Lepisosteus oculatus: one gene and its partners. The main gene of each other region encodes a partner of the protein of the gene in region 3 in a complex. Links are inferred from orthologs where the notes say so. Each region holds a gene or a part of one and is shown on either strand. Other genes may lie near its edges.

Region 1 (7,314 bases), on a different chromosome or scaffold from region 3:
AGTTTGGTGGAAAGTCTCATCACTTCAGGTTTTCCAGTCAGAAGGGACCCTAACCTGAGTGTCTAGAGACCCCTCATCTCCTTTCATTAGTGGGGACCCTATCTCTGTACCCTAACCTGCCCACCAAAGGATCCTAGTGACCCCTCATATCCTTCCATCAGGGGGACCTCATATCTTGCTGTGCCCTGTTATAATACTTCTGGATTAACTGTGAAACCAGGGTTCAGGTCAGCACAACTCAGAGTTATAATGTCACTGGACTCCCCAGGAACCCAGAGCACACTAACCTAGTCATCAGATAAAGAGAGACCTACATTTTCCTTTATAAAGCCTTCAGTAAACGCATAACCTTTCCCCAGTAGTCTACCTCGTAACTAGTCAACTAGACACAGACCTGCGTGACGTCACTCACTGCTTCACTGAGACTGCTGCTGCTCCACTGCTGCTGGAGAGGCTACAAAAATTTACAAATTGTTGTTTTGTAAATCGCTCACTATGTCAGAGGCCTATGAATAAAGAAATCCAAAACAATGCTTATTTGGATGTTAAAAAAATGTAATTTCCAAACCAAAAACATAGGAAATACTAATCACATCCGAGTCCTTTAACTCTCTCTTTGTGAACAGGCAAGTGAGCTGCGGATCCCCAGAAACATTCAGTTCCTTCACAGTTTGTTGTTTCTGAAACCAAGAACCGTGACTTGGTCTGCCACTGTAGATTTGTACCTAAATTTCAAACACTTCCACCCATCCTTACTGCAGTGTGTGTTCAGGCCAGGACCTGTGTGTGTTCAGCACACAGACCACGGAGGATTAGGACTAGGTTAGGGCCCATCCTTGACATGGAGTATCTGTTACAGCTGAGTGAGAATCACAAGGTGTCCTGTGTTTCAGGACCGTACCTGCACGTAGCCCATGGATGGGGGACCGAAGTCATTGAAGAGAGGCCTGTAATTGGAGGAGGAACCAGGAAGAGAGGAGGATGGAGAGGAAACACTGGAACCTGAGAGAAATAAAGTGGGAGATTAATACAGTCCATTAACACTGCACTGAGAGAGAGGGGTTAATACAGTACAGACACACTGACTGGACACTACAGGACATTAACACTGCACTGAGAGAGAGGGGTTAATACAGTACAGACACACTGACTGGACACTCCAGTACATTAACACTGCACAGAGAGAGAGGGGTTAATACAGTCCAGACACACTGACTGGACACTCCAGGACATTAACACTGCACTGAGAGAGAGGGGTTAATACAGTACAGACACACTGACTGGACACTCCAGTACATTAACACTGCACTGGGAGAGAGGGGTTAATACAGTACAGACACACTGACTGGACACTACAGGACATTAACACTGCACTGAGAGAGAGGGGTTAATACAGTCCAGACACACTGACTGGACACTACAGGACATTAACACTGCACTGAGAGAGAGGGGTTAATACAGCACAGACACACTGACTGGACACTCCAGGACATTAACACTGCACTGAGAGAGAGGGGTTAATACAGCACAGACACACTGACTGGACACTCCAGTCCATTAACACTGCACTGAGAGAGAGGGGTTAATACAGTCCAGACACACTGACTGGACACTCCAGGACATTAACACTGCACTGAGAGAGAGGGGTTAATACAGTCCAGACACACTGACTGGACACTCCAGTACATTAACACTGCACTGAGAGAGAGGGGTTAATACAGTCCAGACACACTGACTGGACACTCCAGGACATTAACACTGCACTGAGAGAGAGGGGTTAATACAGTCCAGACACACTGACTGGACACTACAGGACATTAACACTGCACTGAGAGAGAGGGGTTCATACAGTCCAGACACACTGACTGGACACTCCAGTACATTAACACTGCACTGAGAGAGAGGGGTTAATACAGTACAGACACACTGAGAGAGGAATACAGACGCGCCAGTACCCCATGTTCAGATATAGTCAGCTCAGTTTGAGTAACAGAGTGAAGTTTTGTCAGATTCCAGGTGAGCCAGAAAGGTACGCAGGCAGGGATTTTGCTCGGACCCTGAGAGATGATTATGTGTAGTTGTGCGATCAGTGGAGAAGAGGTGGACATATACAACAGCACCAGTGTTACGGGTTCTTGTGCGAGGAAAGGACCACGGTCCAGCTTTCTTCAGGCGACTGCACCAGGAAAGCAGGCTAGCTCACCCGCCGGGTCTGGCTCTGAGGGGAAACGAGATTCTAGTGACTGGACACCCCAGCACGCTTCCGGACAGAAGGAGATCACGTATCGCTTGGGAATGGGCAATAAATACCGAACGCATCGTTGTCGGTTTAACCCAAACAGCTGTTGAGGGGCACGAACACAGCAGTGCGGGGCTGAGGGTAAGTGGGGTCTGGCGTGCAGAGTCTCACCCCGACTCTCAGAAGAACCTGGAGGCGGGCGTGTGGTCCCCGAGAGGGCAGCCTGTGCCCCGTTTCTCACTCTTACACGCAATCACACTGGCAGCGCGTCTCTCTCACCGGGGGGAGTGTGGTTGGTGCCGGAGGGAGCCGGGGCGATGGGCTTGTAGCTCATAGCGTCAGGTCGCTGCGCCGCTCGGACTTCCGCCGGTCTTCGCTGTCTGTCCACAGGCGAAACACGCCGACCTCCCACGGGGGACTCGGGCGCGGAGGGCACGGAAACGGAGCAGAGGAGAGCAGAAGTCTGGGCTCAGGAGCGGAGTTTAATCCCGACCGGGAGGGAACGCGCTTTATGCGGACAGAGGCGGATCAATGGCGGATCTCGGCTTTTTAAAGCTGATTTCAAACCGGGAAGCGCCGCCGAGTTGTGTTTCGGAGAAAAAGAAGGAAGAGAACCTGAGCTTTTCGATTTTGTTTTGGGTTTTTTTTTTAAAGTCGTTTCTTTCAAAACTCCAGAGCGCTTCCCTTGTGTGGTATGTTTGTGGATTTGTATAGCTGTGCAGCTCCCCGCTCTGTTGCAGAATGAAATTAAATAAAGCAGTAATAAAAAGCGGAGCAGAGCGATCGTCGGGAAACCAGCCGTCCACACCGGCCTGCCAGCGCTTCCTGTCCCGTCGTGCCCTGCACCGGGCTCTTCCCGGGGAGGCGTGGTCCGTCTGCGAAAAAACGATGACGCGCACAAGTCAAGAGCAGCGATTGGCTGACATATTCCCACCCCTCATGCTCCGCCCACGTCGTCACTATCGCCACTGCAGTCCGTCCACTGCCAGGGCCAAACAAAGGAAAACTACAGTTCCCATGAGCGCGAGGTACACGGCGGTTTTCTTATAAACGCGAGATGGGGTCGCAGAGCTCTATGGGAATGGTATTTCTTAACTCCCGACCTTTCATTACTGAAGGCTTGTTCTCTCTGGTCTTTAACTGCACCATTTAAAGAGACAGCATTCTTTTTTAAAATAGGGGAACAACCATAAAATATATACTTTAAAAAGTTTTATATAGATAAGATAAGATCATTTTATAGGCCATATACAATTTATTTTATTAGGACTTTGACCTTTCACAGACCCCAACTTGCTCTCCATGAGACACACAGACAGGGAGAGAAGCTGGGGGTCAGAGCACAGGGTCAGCCATTTATACAGCACCCCAGGAGCAGTTGGGGTGAAGGGCCTTGCTCAGGGGCCCAACAAAGTAGGATTCCTCTGCCAACTGTGGGATTCGAACCGGCAACCTTCCAGCCACAGATCCTCAGCCACAGAGCCACCGCACCGCCCTTATAGATGATACAGATTAAATACAGCGCAGGAACATACATTTATACGTTTACACGCTATACATATGTTTATGAATGAGAGGGTGTCATTCAGTTTACTCATCCTCAAGCGGCAATTTCAGCAGAAAGCAGTGCTGGTGTAAAGTTCCGTGTAGCTGCCACCCCCACAAACATCACAAACCACGAAACCCTCCTCGTGCGTTAGTGCTGAGTTTGTGCCGTTTTTGTTTCCGCGATATAGCGCCTTCTTATTTAGGGGTGTGACGTCACTCAGCCCCAAAACGGCGCAGGAGAACCGGACCGGTCTTGCTCAGTTAGTGCTGCGTTTGTGCCGGTTTGTGCCGTTGAAAGTGACTTCCCAGCTGCTTTCCTTCCTGAGATATAGCGCCTTGATTTGGGGGTGATCACATGACCACATACGGCAACTTTGACTGCTACTAACCCTGCCCGCGACGATTTCAGACACGATTTCAGCTGGGAGGAATAAGATGACTCAACAACAGCAGCCACACAGTATCTATTAATGAAGAGTCTGCATCACTAATGGAGCCAGAGCTATCGGCCTCAAGGCATTGAGAGCTTTTAGTCTGTTCTTCTTGGGAGCAGGTAGAGCTGTGGCGTGTGTCCAAACAGCAGGGCCGGTGCCAGTGTCTACAGAGAGCTGGAACAGCTGCTGACTCTCTCCCCTCAGCTCTTCAGACAATACTTTAGTGTTCAGCCACAGGTTCCACCTGGACCTGCTGCTGTGTTGACTGGCATCTTTCTACCAGAGTTCGCGACCACACAAGTTGGTATTTGCAGTTCCTGGAGTAAGCTACCGATCATTAAGTTGGGAGAAGAAATAATACTTTTCAAAAACAGTAAAAAACACATTTCACAGGTCTCTTTGCTAATTCCATCCACCTGGATGGATTTGTGCCCCTCATAGATATTCACTTAGGCCCTTTGGTTTAATGTCCTGCCAGACAGTGCAGAGGTCATCTTGTTTTGTTTATAACGTGTATCCAACTGATGTACTGGTGATATGCTAAAACATTATTTGCACTTTTAAAGCAAAGTAGTTCTAGTTCATGTTTCACTGGTCATTCTCAAGAAATCTGCTGGATTGATTTTGTTGATGCCTTTCAGGAATGATCATAGTCTTCTATGTTCAACACTTTAGAAATTCAGTTCCTTCAGCCTGTCAGTGTGGGACACTCCCTTCACACTAACGAGGTTTAGTTCCTCCAGCTGTCACACGGCCTGTCATATGTAAATATTCTTATGTTCCAATGTTAATACAGGTGTTAGTATGAGCTCTCAATAGTGAAGAGGCTGGTGTGGAATACAGTTTCCTGTGTAAAACAATTGTCAAAGCATGTCAGTTGAACATCATAAATGTCAGACTGTTTTGTTAAGGTGCTTCGCACAGTCTCAAGAGAACTCTTACCTTCATACTAAATTTTTTCAGTTTGCTCTATGGTGCTGTCTCAAACAGCAGCTGCAAGATAGGCTCATGAACATCAGATTCTAATGATGTGTTTTCACTTTGCTGAATCGTTTAGCGGAAACATGCAGTGCTTCTTCCTTCCTACACAACAATGTTTAAATGTTTATTTGATCAAATAGGTAACATATGTCCCTGTGTGTATAACCTCATGTTCTGTCTTCTGCCACTCACGATTGTTGTTATACCATGGGTTTGTTGTCATAGATTGTGTTAGACACATTTTCTAAAAGAGACTGACAAATATCTAATTTATTATTGTAGTACACACTCACAAAAATCATTATGCATTGTACGTACATTTCTGAGGCATTGTACAGATTCACAGATATACAATAACAATTACTGTCTTCAACTCTCTCATCCTCAGTAATAAAAGGATCTGACTTTAAAACAGAGCAGGCCATCCTGCCTCTAACACAGCCCTTACCGGTAAACAGGCATCTAATATGAAACAAATACAGAGATGACGAAGCTCAGCAGACGGATCACACTGTTCCTGTTTGAAAGCATGACCAGACATCAGATCACCACAGGGCAGCAGCCCAGAAAACTGTGGACATAGTATAATCCCAGGGTTTCTAAGGAGAGATCTCACGGTTCCTGTGGGAGAGCATGACCAGGCATCAGATCGCCACAGGGCAGCAGCTCATTACCGGGAAACTGTGGACAAAGACCCAAGTTTCTGTGAAGAGATCACATTGTTCCTGTGGGAGAGCAGGAATGGTTAATCAGATCACCATAGGGCAGCAGCTCATTGTTGGGAAACAGTGGACAAAGGCGCCAAGGCTCTGTGGAGAGATCTCACTGTTCCCCTTGGAGAGCATGACCAGACATCGGATCACCACAGGGCAGCAGCTCATTACTAGAAAACTGTGGACATAGTGTAAACCCAGAGTTTCTAAGGAGAGATCTCACTGTTCCTGTTGGAGAGAAGGACCAGACATCGGATCGCTACAGGGCAGCTTTTCATTACTACGAAACAGTGGACAGGGACCTCTCCATGGAGAGATCACAACGTTCCTGTCAGGGAGAGCAGCATGAGACATCAGATCACCCACAGAACAGCAGCTCATTCCTTCAGACAGGTGGGGGAGCAGGACACTGGGGAGATCTGGGCGACAGGAAATGAAGAGTCATGGTGACATCGGGACCCAGGCAGTGAGCGGGACTTCCGAGCTGTGGGAGAGGGGAAGGGGACTGACTCTCTCTGGGGAGGAGTGACCTGCACGGACTCCAGGGATCCAATCCCGAGGCTCCATCACCGCGACGACAGCATCATGACAAATTCTGTGGAAGGCGGGAGACGGGGGACAAAGTTAGCGGAACCGTCTCTGATCGCTGGGAGTCTCTGTGAATCTATCTCTGTGGGCTTGTGTGACCCTCTGAGGCTCTATTAGAGTCTGTGTGTGTCTTTACCTGTGAGTGTATCTGCGTGTCTCTATGAATCTCAGAGACTCAGAGTCTCCGCCTGCGTGTGTCCCTGCAACCCTTGTCACCTTTCAAACACCCCCTGTCTCTGCCACACAGAGGGAACACCAAAACACCCCATCGTTCTATATGCTGCTGTCATGGCAACACCGGGGACAAAGTGGCACCGACCTTGCCTTCTACATGATCAGCACCGGGCTGGAGAAGCTCCAGGGGGAAATACAGGACTCGCATTGCACGGAAGAAAGAGCAGGTGTGTCTGCTGCCCTGCCCCTCTGAGCTCTGTGTCAGCATGGGAGTGCATTCTGGAGCCAGGCTCCCCCTGCACAGACCCGGCACCACAGCTGTGCTCAGTGCTGAACACACAGGCTGCGTCGTCAAAGAAATCAATACTCATCCGAAGTGAAAACGCAAAACAATGTGCATCGATTTCTAGGCAGCTGCAACCTCCGGCACAGCTCTGAGGGCTGTGTCCTCTTGTCTGATCGTCGTGCAAGGGGGTGATTTCAGGACTCTGATAACAACCCAGGGCTCTGTGCCCCTACTTGGGCTGGGCTTGTGTCACCAAGTGGCAAGAGTGGCTGTGGGGCAGCAGGAGTCGGGGGCTGTATTGAATTGTAAGCTTGCATTTAGCGGTCAGTGTTCTTAGTCCCTGTTTCCTCT
Region 2 (7,150 bases), on a different chromosome or scaffold from region 3:
GCTTCAGTGTGAAGTTGGGCTCCGCTGCCGAATGTACTATGTCCTGTGTGGATCGGTGCTCAGTGTTTGGACTAAAGTAGAGGGCGTTTTAGCGTCGGTCAGTGGAACCAATGTGAAAATGCAAATCGTTCGTTTAAGAACTGAGGATGGACAAAGAATCGTTGGTAAGTGATGATAAAGTTCCCTCATCCCCACCCCCATGCAAGTCATCAGGAGGCCCCTGTTTACAAGCTTTAGCCCAGTGCTGTTATTTCATTTTGTTTTTATTATCTGTAAGTAGCATACAGCTGTTTATTATAACTAAAAGTTCATATGTTTTGGGCTTATTTAAATTTGGTTCAGGGTTTGCCTACCTAATTAACAAATGTGATTAGTAGTTAGGGTACGATTGGGTAGTTTGCTTTAAGGAAATAATACTATTAGTCTCTTAAGCGTCGGTGCTTCCTTCTACTGTAAAACTATCCAAGACCAATAATTTTTTTAATGTTTGTCATTGACAGGTTTGATCATTCCAGCAAACTGCGTAGCCCCGCTGATAAACATCCTGTCCTCGTCAGACCAGTCTCAACAACTTGCTGTCCAGCAGCAACAAATGTGGCAACAGCTTCACCCACAGAGCATTAACGCCTTCAGTAACACATAGCACCCAGCGTGGACTGGACAGTGGACTTAATGTGTTACATTTAAGAACATGCTCTGTGAGCACATTGTGAGGCAGTCAGAAGGAAACATTCAGGGTTCTTGTCCAAAGAATTTTCTTTCATTAGAAGTTCACTGGAACATTCAACACCTCGCACTTCAGTTCAGAACTGAAGAGACCTCTGTGAATTTCTGGAGGAGAAATGTTGAAACAGATAAAATATTTCTTCCTCTTTTTTTCATAACGTTTCATGTGCTTTCTACTGGCTTCTGGTCATAATTACAGGTTTGTTCTGTATCTTCTGCAAGTGGAGTGCTTGAACTTTATGACATATTACAGTGCTCAGGGGTTAGTTAAAGAAAACAATCACTTTTTTTAACTCTGATATGCTGAGAATATATATTGAAATGCATGTCACCTCCCCCTCATGTTCCTTAATGTGTTGATGCATACATTGTACAAAGCATGGAATTGCAAGTTTACTACACTGCATACAAATGTTTCCTGTTCCTTTCATTTAGTGTACCTTATATTCATGCTTATGAAAATGGTTCTCAAGGTGTAAATTCCTTTTAAGACCATGTTCACCACAGGGTTCAACATGCTAAAATTGTGACCTTGCATGATTTTAAAAAAATATCATCCCTGTTTTCCCTTTGTGGTTCACTTTAGAATAAACATTTCTTTAATCATAGCTAATTTAAACAAAAACATTGGACTTGCAGAATGGCTAGTCATTGATCTTCAATAGTATGTTCATGAAGGTATATACTACCTTTTGTTCTTAAAATCCCCAAGATATCAGTCTGTAAACTGGAATGTCATTTACATTAAGGCCACTTCAACCTTGTCTGGTCTTGATTTATATTTTTTAATTTTCTATTTACACATTTTAATATTTGCTGTCTCTTGAAACAGATCTGATGCATTTAATTTCAGGACGGGACACAAGACTCTTTATAAAAGCTTTTCATTTGTGCTGTAAATGTTATAAGATCGAAAATGTTTCTCTTAAACTGGTATGGATATTTTGCTGTACAAATGTGTATAGTTACATATCTTAAATATGAATTGTTTGGCTTATAAGTAAAATTGATGTTTATAAGATATTGAAGGACAATGTCATTTCATGCTTGCACGAGTTGCACTACTGACAGATTTCATTGTATATTGAAATTAAATCTGTTTAAATTACATTGCTGCAAGATTAGGACATCTTGCATATGACCAATAAATCTAGAAAAACTTTGTGAGTTGTGGCTTGTGTCTAAGAGAATTATAGGAAAAAACTTTTTTGCTTCTTGAAAGTGTTTCAATTTGAAACATTCATTTTATACTTGGTTCTGTGCTTCAGATTAATTTTCCTCATGATGGTTTTCAATGGACATGACCAGAATGTTTTAGAGCAAGCTTGATTTTTTTTAAAGAACATTTTGTACCTCATACAAATGGCATGATTAGTCAAGTGTTTTTTAGAGCAATTTGCTGAATGAGGCAGGTTAGTTTTTTTTATTTTTGTTTCTACTCTTTATTTCTAAAAAGGTATAATGTTTTCTTCTGTACTTCAATGGAGGGCTCAGGTTCAGCAACTTCTGACTGCAAGCAAATGGGTTATTTTTAATTTGTCTGCTGAGAACTAAGAAAATAATCAAAGACTATAGGAAGATGAGATGCAGTTTGCTGCATGCTGATTACCTGATGAGATTAATCAATGAAAGCTACACATTCTTTTTCCAGGCTTGATTGTGATTGATTATGGAATCTGATTGTTTCTATTGCATAATGTATATGACCACATAAGGATTAAATTGTAATTATATTTTGTTGGAGAAGGATCTACAGCATATTGCTCAGGACTATTGGTTGGGGATCTCTTCCACTAGGAATCACCTCATGGAGTGTTTTTCAAGAGCCAAAAGCCAAACCTTCTTGGTTTGGGATTTCTGTTGCACAGAGATTTAAACACTTTTTGCTTTAGTCCTACTGCAAAATCCTGTTTTATGTAAAAAAGTAAATGGATCTACATTTGAGTTCAGTTATACTTTATGCAGTTTACACAAAAATAATAATCTTAAGGTCTATGTACCAAATAAATTTTATTTTTATCAAGTTTTAGATTCCTTGGTAAAACCTGGTATTTGCCTGATAATCCTAACTATAATGTGCTCTCATTGTTCCATACCAGGCCATTCCTAAAATTAACACTTGAATGTACATTATATTTGACTCTATAGTTGACTATTTCTCCTGTTGCTTCACACAGTCAATGGGTTATTTTCAGCTGATGGCCATCCTATTGTGCATGACAATAGCAAATCGTGGCCGTGTATAAACCAGGCTTGTGGACAGGCTCCGGCAGTTTGGGTGGTGAAGAGAGAATGCTTTTGTAAAAAATCTGGCCAGGAGGCTGTTTAATTTTGAAGATGAGCCCACAATCCCCCCATTCTCACACCCCCCAGTTAGGTGCGGAGCACGGAAAACGGTGGAACATGCGTCTCGACAATAGGCAGACAAAGTACAGTGCTAGGCATTCACGAACTCGCGCCATACGTCACTCCTGCTACCCATGGAAAAAATTAGCATTCACTTCGCTCATGTCGTGGGGTGCGAAACGTGGGCGGGGGAGGGGAGCGTGTTACACGATAGGAAGAGGTTAAGAATGGCACGCGTCCCCATTGTCAGACTTAGAAGTTCCTATGGCTGCCTCGTGCTTTTTAGATTTTTATATGCATCTTATATAAACTCATACATTGTATGAGCTAAGTAAACCGCTTATTTTCTAAACGTATTGGGTACGTTAAGCAAAATATGCGGGAAAATAGACCACCTTGTTGTTTTTAACTACCGCTTCCAGACAAACATTTAATCATTTTTGTCTGGAAAAGGAAATTATTGTAATTATCGCAACCCTTTCCTACCATGCATTCTCGATCTAGGTGGTAAAATATTACGACTAAAGTATTTACAGTATGTTCTCTAAATCTATGTGAGGCGGCGGGAACGCATTTTTCTTCCTTGCTTTAAAAGTAATTGCAATTATTAAAATATCAAAAAGTTATTGTTGCACGTTGATGAATAAAAAAAAAACACCTCGTCCCCTTAGTTTTTTAAATTAAAAATACATCTAAAAAAATACGATGGGGTTCTTCCTAAAACCTGTGATTGAATTTTTTTTTTAGAAAGTTTAAAACTTTAATTTGAAGTATAGCTGACGAAGATAACCCATCCGTTATCGTAAGAGTTGCTACGAGCCCGATTAAAGCAAAAATAAAAGTTTCAAAGTTTGACGTGGTCAGTAACCTGATAAAAAAAAAGCCAGGGTTCGGCAAATAATGTTTTTTAAAAAGCGTTGTTTTAAAATAGATTACGACCTCAAAAATATGAAATCTCTTTTCAAAACCGAATTTTAATCGCCGCGGCGTTTCCATATGAGTTTTGGGTCTGACCTCCTCGCTTTTGGTCAAATTGCCATAAATTTCCCATTGTGATGATAGATTGCATTGTGGGTGTCAATATAAAGTGACGGCCATATTTGCCGGTGCGGCTGCTGTAAACAAAAAGTGTCTGAGAGAGACAGAGACGCTTCAGTGAATTTCAGGACATTTTTATTTCTTTAATTTATAATGTCTCTGGGAATGTCTTACAAACCCAACCTCCACCCGCACATTCCTGGGACTTCCGTGAACCAAGGTAAGGCTGAAATATCCGCGAATTCTCCACTGAATCACTGTTTTATTAGATGCAAAATCCGCTGTTATAATGAATACCTGGGGAAAGCCCGTGTCTGTAGTTTTTGTCCAGTTATATATATAGGGTCAGATCCTGAGAGCTGATTCATATCCGCCATTATTACTAATCATAAAAGCTTTTTTTTTTCCGCATCCGCAAAGTAGAGAAACGGAGGTTAACTCTTCGCTGGGGACCGGGTTTGCGGTAGCCGATACCCGCTTTTGTTCGCACGGATGCTGGAAGAGTGTTATAAAAAATGTATCACTTTGGCTTCTTAAATCAGCCCGTTCGGTATCCTCCATGATTGTCTCCCCAGGGCCGATGATTGATCTGGATCAGGAATGTTCTTTTTTTACGCTCTGGGGACACCTAGCGTTCAAAATGGCTTACTGCACGGAAGGCTTACATGAATTGAATGCCTGTAGTGTAGGTGACCGAGAGAGACTCAATTGCCTAAAAAAAAATCACCTCTGAAATACGGAATACCAGCCGAAACGTTGTGTTTCATTTCTTCTCTTTTCAGCACGGAATAAACCTGACGCAGCTACCTACTCGCACCTCTGAAATGTGTTTTTCTAAATTCTAAATAATAATGATAAGTGTCCAAAATTCTCAGAAGCTACGCCAGTACGCACATACAATTGTTTCTGAATTGTATGTGCCACCAATTACCCCGCGGTGCGACGCAGCAAATATACAGAGGCTATCTCACTTTAAAATATAATTAAGAGATTACATATAATTTGAATTCTAATGAAGTCTTACGAGTAGCATTGACAATTGAAACTGTCACGATTTTGCCTTGCGAAATGTAACACAGTACAGTTTAGAGCGTTCACATCTGCAAGCAGCAGCGAATGTAAATCAAGTACAACACAACGTGCCCTGGCTGGAGTTGTTCTTCTGTGTTTCGGGGGGTGGGTCTGGGGTGTGTGGAGGAGCTTCAGAAATGAGAAACGATTCCTTTTGACCTCATTGTCCGTCTCTTTTCCTCCAGTCGGGAATGTCCACTCTCCTTCCACGAGCTTAGCCACACTGCAGTCTTACCGGCCACTGGTGAATGACTACGGGCTGCCATCCTTGGGATTTTCACAGGTAATTTTAGCTCGATCAAACCACCTGGTGGTTAGTCTAACTGAGGCGGAGGTCGTGCCAAGAGAGGCTGGTGAGCAATTCCGTTCGCTCTCCGTGGGCACAGATGTTGCCAGTCCCTTGCAGATGCCCTCTGTGTGGTCAGTGAATTGCCCTTTCTAAGAGGACTCAGCCCAGGAACTGTTCTCCTCTTGCAGGGGACCAGCGGAAATCAAGTGCCTCAAAGTAAATATGCAGAACTCCTAGCCATCATCGAAGAGCTGGGCAAAGAAATCAGACCGACGTATGCTGGGAGTAAAAGTGCCATGGAGAGACTAAAACGAGGTAATTAGTTTTGTTTAAGTGAGTCATTGAATCTATTATACCTTAATCAGCCAACTACATCACAGTGTACTTTGGCTCCGTTTTCAGCAGGTTTTAATCCCGATACAAAACAGCATTCATCTTCCGGGATGCATCTTACTGTGTAAATATAAACAGGTGATCTGTAGTCGCATGCAAACTTCTGACTACTGCAGCCACTACACAAAGTGGAGATGGAGAGAACCACCCAAGGCTCAAGTCCAATATTTTCCCAGGCTCTTAAAACATAAGAGTGGATACAAGCGAGGGGAGGCCGTTCAGAAGATGTTGCCTGTTTTGATAGTTAGTAGGTAATTGTTCCAGCTCATCCAGCTTGTTCCATACCCCCACCAACCTTTTTGTAAAGTTTAAAACTCATTTTCACTTAGTTTGCCCTTGTGTCCTCTGGTTCACGTTGCAGTTCTCCAGTTCTCTCTGAAAAAGTCTGCTGGGGTGGACTGTGGCAGTGTCCTCAAGCATTTCATATGCTTTCTTACGGGGTCCCCTAGTCGCCCTCTCTGTTCAAGGCTAGAGAGATTCAGTCCCTCGGCCTGTCGGTGGTGTACAGTATAGTGACATGATGGCAGGGGCCCTTGAGCGAGCGAGAATGATGACGTGTTGTTTTTCTTTCTTTTCCAAGGGATCATTCACGCTAGAGGACTGGTACGCGAGTGCTTGGCGGAAACGGAGAGAAACGCCAGGTCCTAACCACGGGAACAATGCTTTCACACAGAAACCCTGAACAGCATCTCGCAACCCTGCCTTCTAATCATTCTCTTTTCAGGAAAGCCAGATAGCTTTCCAGGAAAGCCAGATAGCTTTCCAAATAATAATAATAATAAAAAACTTTTGACGTCTGGCCTGAAGAATGCAGAAACGAAAGCTAAAAGACCAGTATATAAAACTATACTTGACATGAACCTCTTCAAGGGTTCTTTATTCTTTTTTTTTCCATAGGGGGATTTCTGATTCTTTCTTGACTGCTTATATATAAAAAAAAATAAAAAAAATAAATAAAAATCTGATGACTTTGCATGCATGGTAGCAAGTGCTCCCAATTAAAATTTAAAACTGCATGGCTTGTACAGATTTAGACTGTAGCAAGGGACATTTTAAGATGGAATAGGGCCTAAGATTCAATATTTTTAACACACTAATACTTAGGAGACTGAGAAAAGGATAGTGCCAAATACACCACACACCGGATTTGGATAAACTATTGTAATAAAGCCATTATTTGCATCTTTGTATGTATTTATTACTCAGTGTAATAAAACTTATTTTCATTAAGACCTGCTGTGTTGAGAGATTCATTTCTGTAGGGTACCATTGCACAACTGCAATTCT
Region 3 (7,369 bases):
TGTCAAGGTAGGGGAAGAAAAGGAAAACGTGCCTTAGAAAATAAAAACCATAGATCTTACAATCACGGTGATTTTACAGACATTACAACCACAGGTTTATGTCATTGGTTAACTTGTTGCCATTATTTTAAGGAGACTATATGTTTATGGATATTGATTGTCTTTAAAATGTTAAGGGTACGAGCTAAACTGTAACAGCGCGCTTGAACTCGGCAGACGGGGTCACTGGAGGTCAAAGTCACCGTGCATGGTCACGTGATCAGCGGAAAAACAAGGTGCTTTATCTCGGGAACGAAAGCAGCACAAACGCTACTTTCAACGGTACCAACAGGCACAAACGTAGCACTAACGAATGAGGTGGGTTTCATCGTTTGTGCTGTCTGTAGTGGGACCAACGTCACGGAGCTTTTACCTTGCCTTTAAATATTCAGCGGACTTGAGCATAACATACCAGAAGAAGCTCGAGGTAAACCCTGCATGGTATTTTAAATACAATATTTCGGACGGATTTTGAATCTTGCGTTTTGCGTTGTGTTCATTGTGTGGTGCAACAAAATATTAACTTCAGAGTAACTCGTAAAACTATTGAACAATCTATAAGCGGGCATAAGAAATACTTAGAACTGTTATAAGCAACAAGTGAAAATGGGCTTGTTTGATCCTTCATGATGCTTTTAAACGTGTATGAAACCCATTAAATTAGTATTCTATTTTCGATGCCAAAAGACACCTAATTTGGAAATCCGTGACTTCCTAAAAGACTTGACACTGAATTGTTATAGTCGCATTACAGTGCTAACCAATTAGTCGTACCTTTAATTGCAAGAATGGTCTGCTAATAAAAGCGCACATACATACTTTGGATGTATTTTAGCTCTGTAAACACTAAGGGTATGCGCCCAGGCCCACCCGTGGCTACGCCCCTGCCTCACAGTAGTACTCAGTGGACATGACTGAACTCAGTAATGAATCCAATTCATAGATAGGGATTATTAGGAGGCCATTGTAGGTAAAGACCAGGGGGAAGTTTGGCACACCCCCTCTTTTCAAGAAACGTCCTGGACTTTTAAATGACCACAGAGAGTCAGGACCTCGGTTTTACATCTCATCTGAAGAACGGTGCCTTTTTTCCCCACAGTACAGTGTCCTCTTCACTATACTGGGGCATTAGGACCCAGGCCACAGGGTGAGCCCCCTGTACTGGCCCCACTAACACCTCTTCCAGCAGTAACCTTATCTTTCCCAGGAGGTCTCCCATCCAGGTATTGGCCAGGTTCACAACTGCTGAGCTTAAGTGAGTGGTCAGTTGTGGGTTGCAGGGTTATATAGCTATTTAACTTTTTGTGATTAGAGATGTATTATTTACTATTACTTATTATTATCTGGTGATTAGATTCAGTGTACAGTAGTATCACTAGGCTTACCAAGACAAGTGGATGAATTGGTGTGTACAGTATCACAGTGTGTGGTGGTTAGTGCTGCTGCTATACAGATCTTAAGTCCTGGGCTCAATTCCTGTGTGGCCATCCTTCTGTGTGGAGTTTGCATGTTCATCCTGTGTTTCTAGGGGTTTTCTTTAGTTTTTTGTTTTCAGATAGATTGTGGTTTTTGTTGTCTCTATGTGTGGGTTCTGTGATATATGATACATGCTGCAATAAATGTGTAACTACTCCAAACAGACTTATTTAATTCTTTGACACTTACACGTGGACCATATTCATTTTAAAGTAGATCTGGTCACTGTTTTCTATATTTCTACATTTTGTTCATGAAGGATGTATATTTTAATTTTGACTTTTCTAAGTTTTCTTTAAACAATAAATATTAGAAAGTGGCAAATGCAGTGCATTTTACTTTGTATATGTAAAATACAGAGCAGCTTTCAAGGTGATCAAAATAAACACTAGCATATTATTGCAAATTGCTGTGCTTATGAAATGGTAAATCACTGAACAATTAATTTTTCAAAAGTCCTCTCAATAAAAGATGAAAGCACTGAAGATAGCACGTTGAATGTTCTGCACTCAAACAGCACATGTTCTATTATTCAGAGGCCATGGGATTCAGTAATGTATTGAAATATTATTTGTTTGTTCACTTTGGCCGTTGTGAATAAAGTACTATACTGGCAAATTACAGAACCCTTGGTGCTACAACAGATTCTTTCAGTGGATTTTTCTTCCTATGAAAGCAAGAGGCCACTGATTTGATGGGTGTATTTCCACATGCTGGAGGTTCCAGATATGTAAGTCTAGGGATGGAGCTCCAACAGTGCAGGAATGGGTGCATACCTTTTAATGCCATTTAGGTATGACATCATGGGCCGATGGACAGGACCGTTCAAAACTAAACAGCTCAGAACACAGAATAAAAAGTAATCAGACCATAAAACATACAGTCTCCTGATATGTTAGAGAGCCTCGTGGATTTTAACATTCTTTCAAAGCCAAATGGTGAAGAACTCACACCTAGCAATCTCTTTAACATATTTAGATCGAATTTTATTAAAAAGAAAAAAAAACATAAGAAATAAGGTGCATTTGTAATATAAAACCTTAAGACTGTAAAGCCTTAAGCAAACCAATTGAATTTGTCAAGTATACTCTATTCTCTGTTTTGTTAGTCACCTGTCACCATTAAGTTGTCTACATGTACTGTCTTCACCATACCAGCTCCAGCTGAAGTCTTATTCACAGTGTTCATATGAAATCTTGTTGTAGTGTACTGTTCACTGATAGCTTGCATACACACCCAAATCACTGGATCAACACAATATCGTCTCGGCCAAAAGATTTAGCTGGCAGCTGCAACCTCCTAAATTAAAACATGATCTTAGATTTGTTAGACATAGAAGAAATTAAGTTTCCCTTGTAATTCTGTAAAGCAATGTTGTTTTCTAACTGAGAAACAGACAGGCAATAGCATAGGCAATGTCGCAGAACGTGCTGCCAATAGGACCCAAGCCATCCCCTTTCCAGCAAATCTGTTTGAGTGGTAATGGATCTGTGCATCTGATTGGGTTCTGCCAGCCTTTTAACAACAGGGCCACTCCAAGCTGTGATTAGAAGTGTTCCACCCTCATCTCTGCATATACAGTAGACGTTAATAGAAATATACAGCCATTGATTGTTATGACATCGAGAGGAACTAAAACTGCTGCCTAGCACCTCTTTGAATGCAGGAGAATCCCTTGGCAACATGTCTCCCACTGAGTCCATTGACATATCTCTGCTGCACTCCAGTCTAATTAAAGACATTGATTACGGATAGAACAATTACAGCCTGCTGATGTGATCTGAACAGGTTAATTAATGAACGGCCTTATTAGGGCTGTCATCGTGAAGCTTAGGCTGAATCCAGCTGTTTATCTTATTGCCTCCTCATTATTTCTGTGGTATTTTATTAGGCATGGGATTTTCAGTTTCCTTTCTCTGTTAATCTGAATTCAATAATTTTCACAAAAATCCAGGATTCTAGACACACCTTTATTAGGGTCATTAAATACACTCACATGGCAATGATACAGTTTAAAGAGTGCTACATAATCGTATGCACATGGGTGCGCAAAATGTCCTAACACCCCAACCGGGTTACAGGATAACTTTTGAGGTATGTCATGTTCTGCACAGACAGACAGCCGTGTATATGCAAACTGAGGGAACAGAATATTTTTAGTCTATAAACAGAGTTTAATGCAAGGGTACTTGGTTCAAGGATTCAAATTCCTGAAAGGGATTGACTAAGGCAACCCAACAGTCTTCTCCAGCAGTGTATAACAGAATGGCAAAAAGAGCAAGAGTATTTTAGATTTATTTACACAAAGGGCGGCAGGAGAGTGTAACAGGTGATCCAGCCATGTTGTTGATGCATAACCCCAGGTATGGTTCAGGAAACCGCAGGGTGAGATGGCACAAATTTAGCAGCAGAATACCCACAATGGACGGAAAGGCCTAATCTGGTTTGTAACCTACGTGTTTTTAATGCTTAAAAACTTTATTCCATAAAACATGGCACAGACACACAAGACAAAGCCCAAACAACGAGTGTATGTATGAATGGTGTGTGTGTGTTTTTAAACCCCTTCTACTCAGTTGCCTTCGGGTATTTCCGTGGAAGTAAGTACCCACAGTACGTGAAATAACCTCCGTCGTGAGGCACTTCATCAAGACTCCTGCCCAGCGCTGAACAACTGCGGCTTGTGAGTGGACGCAGCACCGGAGCTCCACTATGGCACCGCCTTCCGTCTGTGCCCTCCCCGCCAATCCCCCACATCCCTCCACCCCCACCAGGAAACAGGGCTCCGAGCTGATCTGAAGCCTTTCGGCGTGTTTGTTGCTGTATTGTACTGTATGCAGGGAGAGGGGGGGTTGTTTTAAATCTCTCTCCCGCTCAAGTCTCGTTCCACCCCCCCACCCCCCACCACGCCATTTCATTGCGGTATATTTATATATAGGTACTCTTTTATTTATTTTTATTTTATTTTGTAGTTTATGATTTTCCCTTTTTATTTTTTTCACGCTCCAGGAGGGCAGAAATGGCGGCCAACATGTACCGGGTCGGAGGTATGTCAGTCTAGATTTTTGATTTACAAAAGTGTTGGTATTTCTTTCAGCGTGACGGGGTGTGCATTAATAGATATTCGCAGAAGTACGGTTTTAATGTGCCTGTCAAAAAGCTGCGGGAAGCAGGTCTTTTGCGAGCCCGGTGCAGCAGGAATTTTCAATTATTTGGGATTAAAATCTGGGTCGGGCCTTAAAACTAACCATTAGAAACTGAAAGCAGCACTCCCAAAACAAACACCATCTGATACTTTTTCAATTTTTGATACATTTCCTACACGTGTAAACGTCTATTGTGATATAAGGTCTTGAGTGTTCAAAGAGTGAAGTTGAAAGTAAGTTTTACAGTTATATTCTGGATGTGCGTCCATTGTTTCTCGGGTGTTTCTTTGTATTTATGCCCTTGTCTTTGCAATGATCTCCATTGGTCCCTGTCCGTAAATCAGTCATTCACGGTTTATTATGCACGGTCACATCCAAAGACTTGCAATTCGGCAGTCGTATGGTCCCAGAGTGTGTTTTTCTGTCATTAATCTGGAAAAAGGTGGTTGTTCTTTTTAGTGTCTCCTATGTTATAATAATGTCTATCGGTTTTTGAAACTCCGGTTGCTAGGATAAAAAAAAACATTTTTCATAATGGCTGGAATTTTCTGCCCCCCCCCCCCACCACGCATTATTTTTTTCAAGGTAAATAAAATATATCGAAATTACTGAACGAAGCTAGTGCGATCAGACTGGTCTTGTGTGAAATTTTGTGCTTCAAAGTATGGGAATGTTCCAGTCACGTGACACCTAAAAATATTGGCATCTTTTACGACAATCTTTTCTTTGTCATCAGGTAACTGGAGAAGTTCGTCCTTAATACAATAAAAACTTTGCTTTCTGTTTTGAAATCGTCCCGGCTTCTTTTTATTATTATTTTTGAATGATCAGAATAAGAGTACTTTGTATTGAATTAAATTAGGCCTTACATAGGTAGGTGTCTGGCCTGGGTGTCTTAAAACGTGACGTAGCTGCCAGTAGTGTATATGCACTTTTATGTCAACACCTAATAAACAACCACATTACATATGTGCGTATTACTTATATATGGATATAGACCTGTATTCTGTTATTTAAAATTCACTTGAGCAAGTCATTCTGATGTTTTTTTGCCCTTCAATCCAGTTTGTTTTTATTGCATATAAAATATTTTAGAGATTTGTATCTGGTTTATACATTGTAAAGGTTTAATATAACCCATGGATTATTTTTTTTTAATTATTTAAGTTGTTGTGTGGAGATCTTTCAATTCTACTTCTTCCTAATTCTGCTGTCTTGGATCACTAGGGACGCTTTCCCATGAGCTCTGATGTTCTAAAAACACTGAGTCCAGAAGCTGATTTCAGGGTTAGGAAGTAGGAGCTCAGGAAAAACCTGCAAATACTTGCACCTGTCCATGGCAACTGGTCCTACTGCTCCTTAATTTCCTCTGAGACCAACTAACACTCTTAAACCTCTTAAGTATCTTAATGTTGCCTTTTCTGACATTGCCAGCAAACACTCCTTTCTAGACATTAAGGCTTTTATTTGTACATACGTGTTATATACATGCAGGTATATATATATAAATAAAAATACATGCACATAGCAAACTCAGCATTTAAGTCGATTTAACTCTTGTGTTGGGTGTTTATCATGTTATTCTTTAGCATGATCACCTAAAACAGCATAACTGTGGATATGTACCTAATTCAGTGGGATTCTGCATTTTGAGCGGCATTACTGGAGCTTTTTTGTGTATGAGAAAAATGCACCAGGGTTAATGTTGTTTAAAGTTATGCGATATGCCACTTTCTGTGTTACAAACACCTTTGCAACAGTAATGATATGCTTTTCACTGAGCATCGTCATAGGCATTATTTGTATAAGAATTATAATTTATTTCTATTTTCAGTTTTAAAAAAAAGATTTATCACATATGCTTCTGTGTTTGCTCTGCATTGATCTTCAGGCATCAAAGTGCAGGAGTCTCAAACTCTGTTCCTTGGGGGGGCTTTTGTCTTCTGGTTTTATTTAAGTACTCAATTAAAAAGTTAACCTCATTTTGCAAATTAGACATCCATTGCATTACTGTAAATCTGTAATTATTGTAAATCTAGGTTAAAGAAAAATAATTTGTTTACAAGTTAAATATTGACAATAAAAACATTTCTTTTGAAAAGCTCTAACCCTGTTTGTTTTGTTGCAGATTATGTGTTCTTTGAGAACTCTTCAAGCAACCCATATCTAATCAGAAGAATAGAAGAGTTGAACAAGGTATTTTGCAGTGTTTTTCTGGGCTGGAACCAAGAGCAGGGTGGGAGTGGATGTTTGTAAAACCCTTGAGGGGATGACCTTTAAGGAGCAAAAAGCTTACATTTCTTAAGGGAACTGGGTAAAATTGACAGACCAGTATTTGCTCATGGTCACTGATCTTATTTTTACCTACTTGTATACCGAGGTGGGCGGACTTTAATCGTTGTTAAGGATTTTGTGAAGGTTGATCTTTGCATGTAATTCATTTTGCCTTTGTGCTGAGGGATTATTCGATCTGACCATTTAAGTTGACTCCTGGGGAAAGTGTTGGCAATAAGGAAATCATGGAAAGTAATCTCTCTGTTGACTCTCAGTCCTGTGTGACTGACAGATGTCAGCAATATGTTGTTATTGCTTGTGTTTCTATAGGACTTTCCATGTCAAAAGATCCCAAAGTGCATTACATACAGAAGTGGACTCACTTTATCCCCCACTTAAGTGTAGCACCATCAGTAGTGCCTTTCAAAAGTACT

What was found.
Region 1: mta3 (region 3) and cdk2ap2 share a complex: the UniProt entries of both Homo sapiens proteins name them as parts of the nucleosome remodeling and deacetylase (NuRD) repressor complex. The link is inferred for Lepisosteus oculatus from reciprocal best matches to the Homo sapiens genes MTA3 and CDK2AP2.
Region 2: mta3 (region 3) and cyclin-dependent kinase 2-associated protein 1 share a complex: the UniProt entries of both Homo sapiens proteins name them as parts of the nucleosome remodeling and deacetylase (NuRD) repressor complex. The link is inferred for Lepisosteus oculatus from reciprocal best matches to the Homo sapiens genes MTA3 and CDK2AP1.

Annotation. Positions count from the first base shown.
Region 1 is NC_090701.1:43,944,170-43,951,483, reverse strand, and holds the start of cdk2ap2 (cyclin-dependent kinase 2-associated protein 2), read right to left. Parts: upstream 3,100-7,314; 5' UTR 2,574-3,099; coding exon 2,519-2,573; intron 1,003-2,518; coding exon 902-1,002; intron 1-901. Other genes in the region: cabp4 (calcium-binding protein 4), read right to left, coding at 6,482-6,510. UniProt on the Homo sapiens protein: Acts as a component of the histone deacetylase NuRD complex which participates in the remodeling of chromatin.
Region 2 is NC_090717.1:7,570,809-7,577,958, reverse strand, and holds cyclin-dependent kinase 2-associated protein 1, read left to right. Parts: upstream 1-4,145; 5' UTR 4,146-4,263; coding exon 4,264-4,330; intron 4,331-5,366; coding exon 5,367-5,464; intron 5,465-5,658; coding exon 5,659-5,785; intron 5,786-6,443; coding exon 6,444-6,511; 3' UTR 6,512-7,093; downstream 7,094-7,150. Other genes in the region: sbno1 (protein strawberry notch homolog 1), read left to right, coding at 1-164, 501-643. UniProt on the Homo sapiens protein: Inhibitor of cyclin-dependent kinase CDK2. Also acts as a component of the histone deacetylase NuRD complex which participates in the remodeling of chromatin.
Region 3 is NC_090712.1:14,766,345-14,773,713, reverse strand, and holds the start of mta3 (metastasis-associated protein MTA3), read left to right. Parts: upstream 1-4,288; 5' UTR 4,289-4,534; coding exon 4,535-4,562; intron 4,563-6,789; coding exon 6,790-6,857; intron 6,858-7,369. UniProt on the Homo sapiens protein: Acts as a component of the histone deacetylase NuRD complex which participates in the remodeling of chromatin.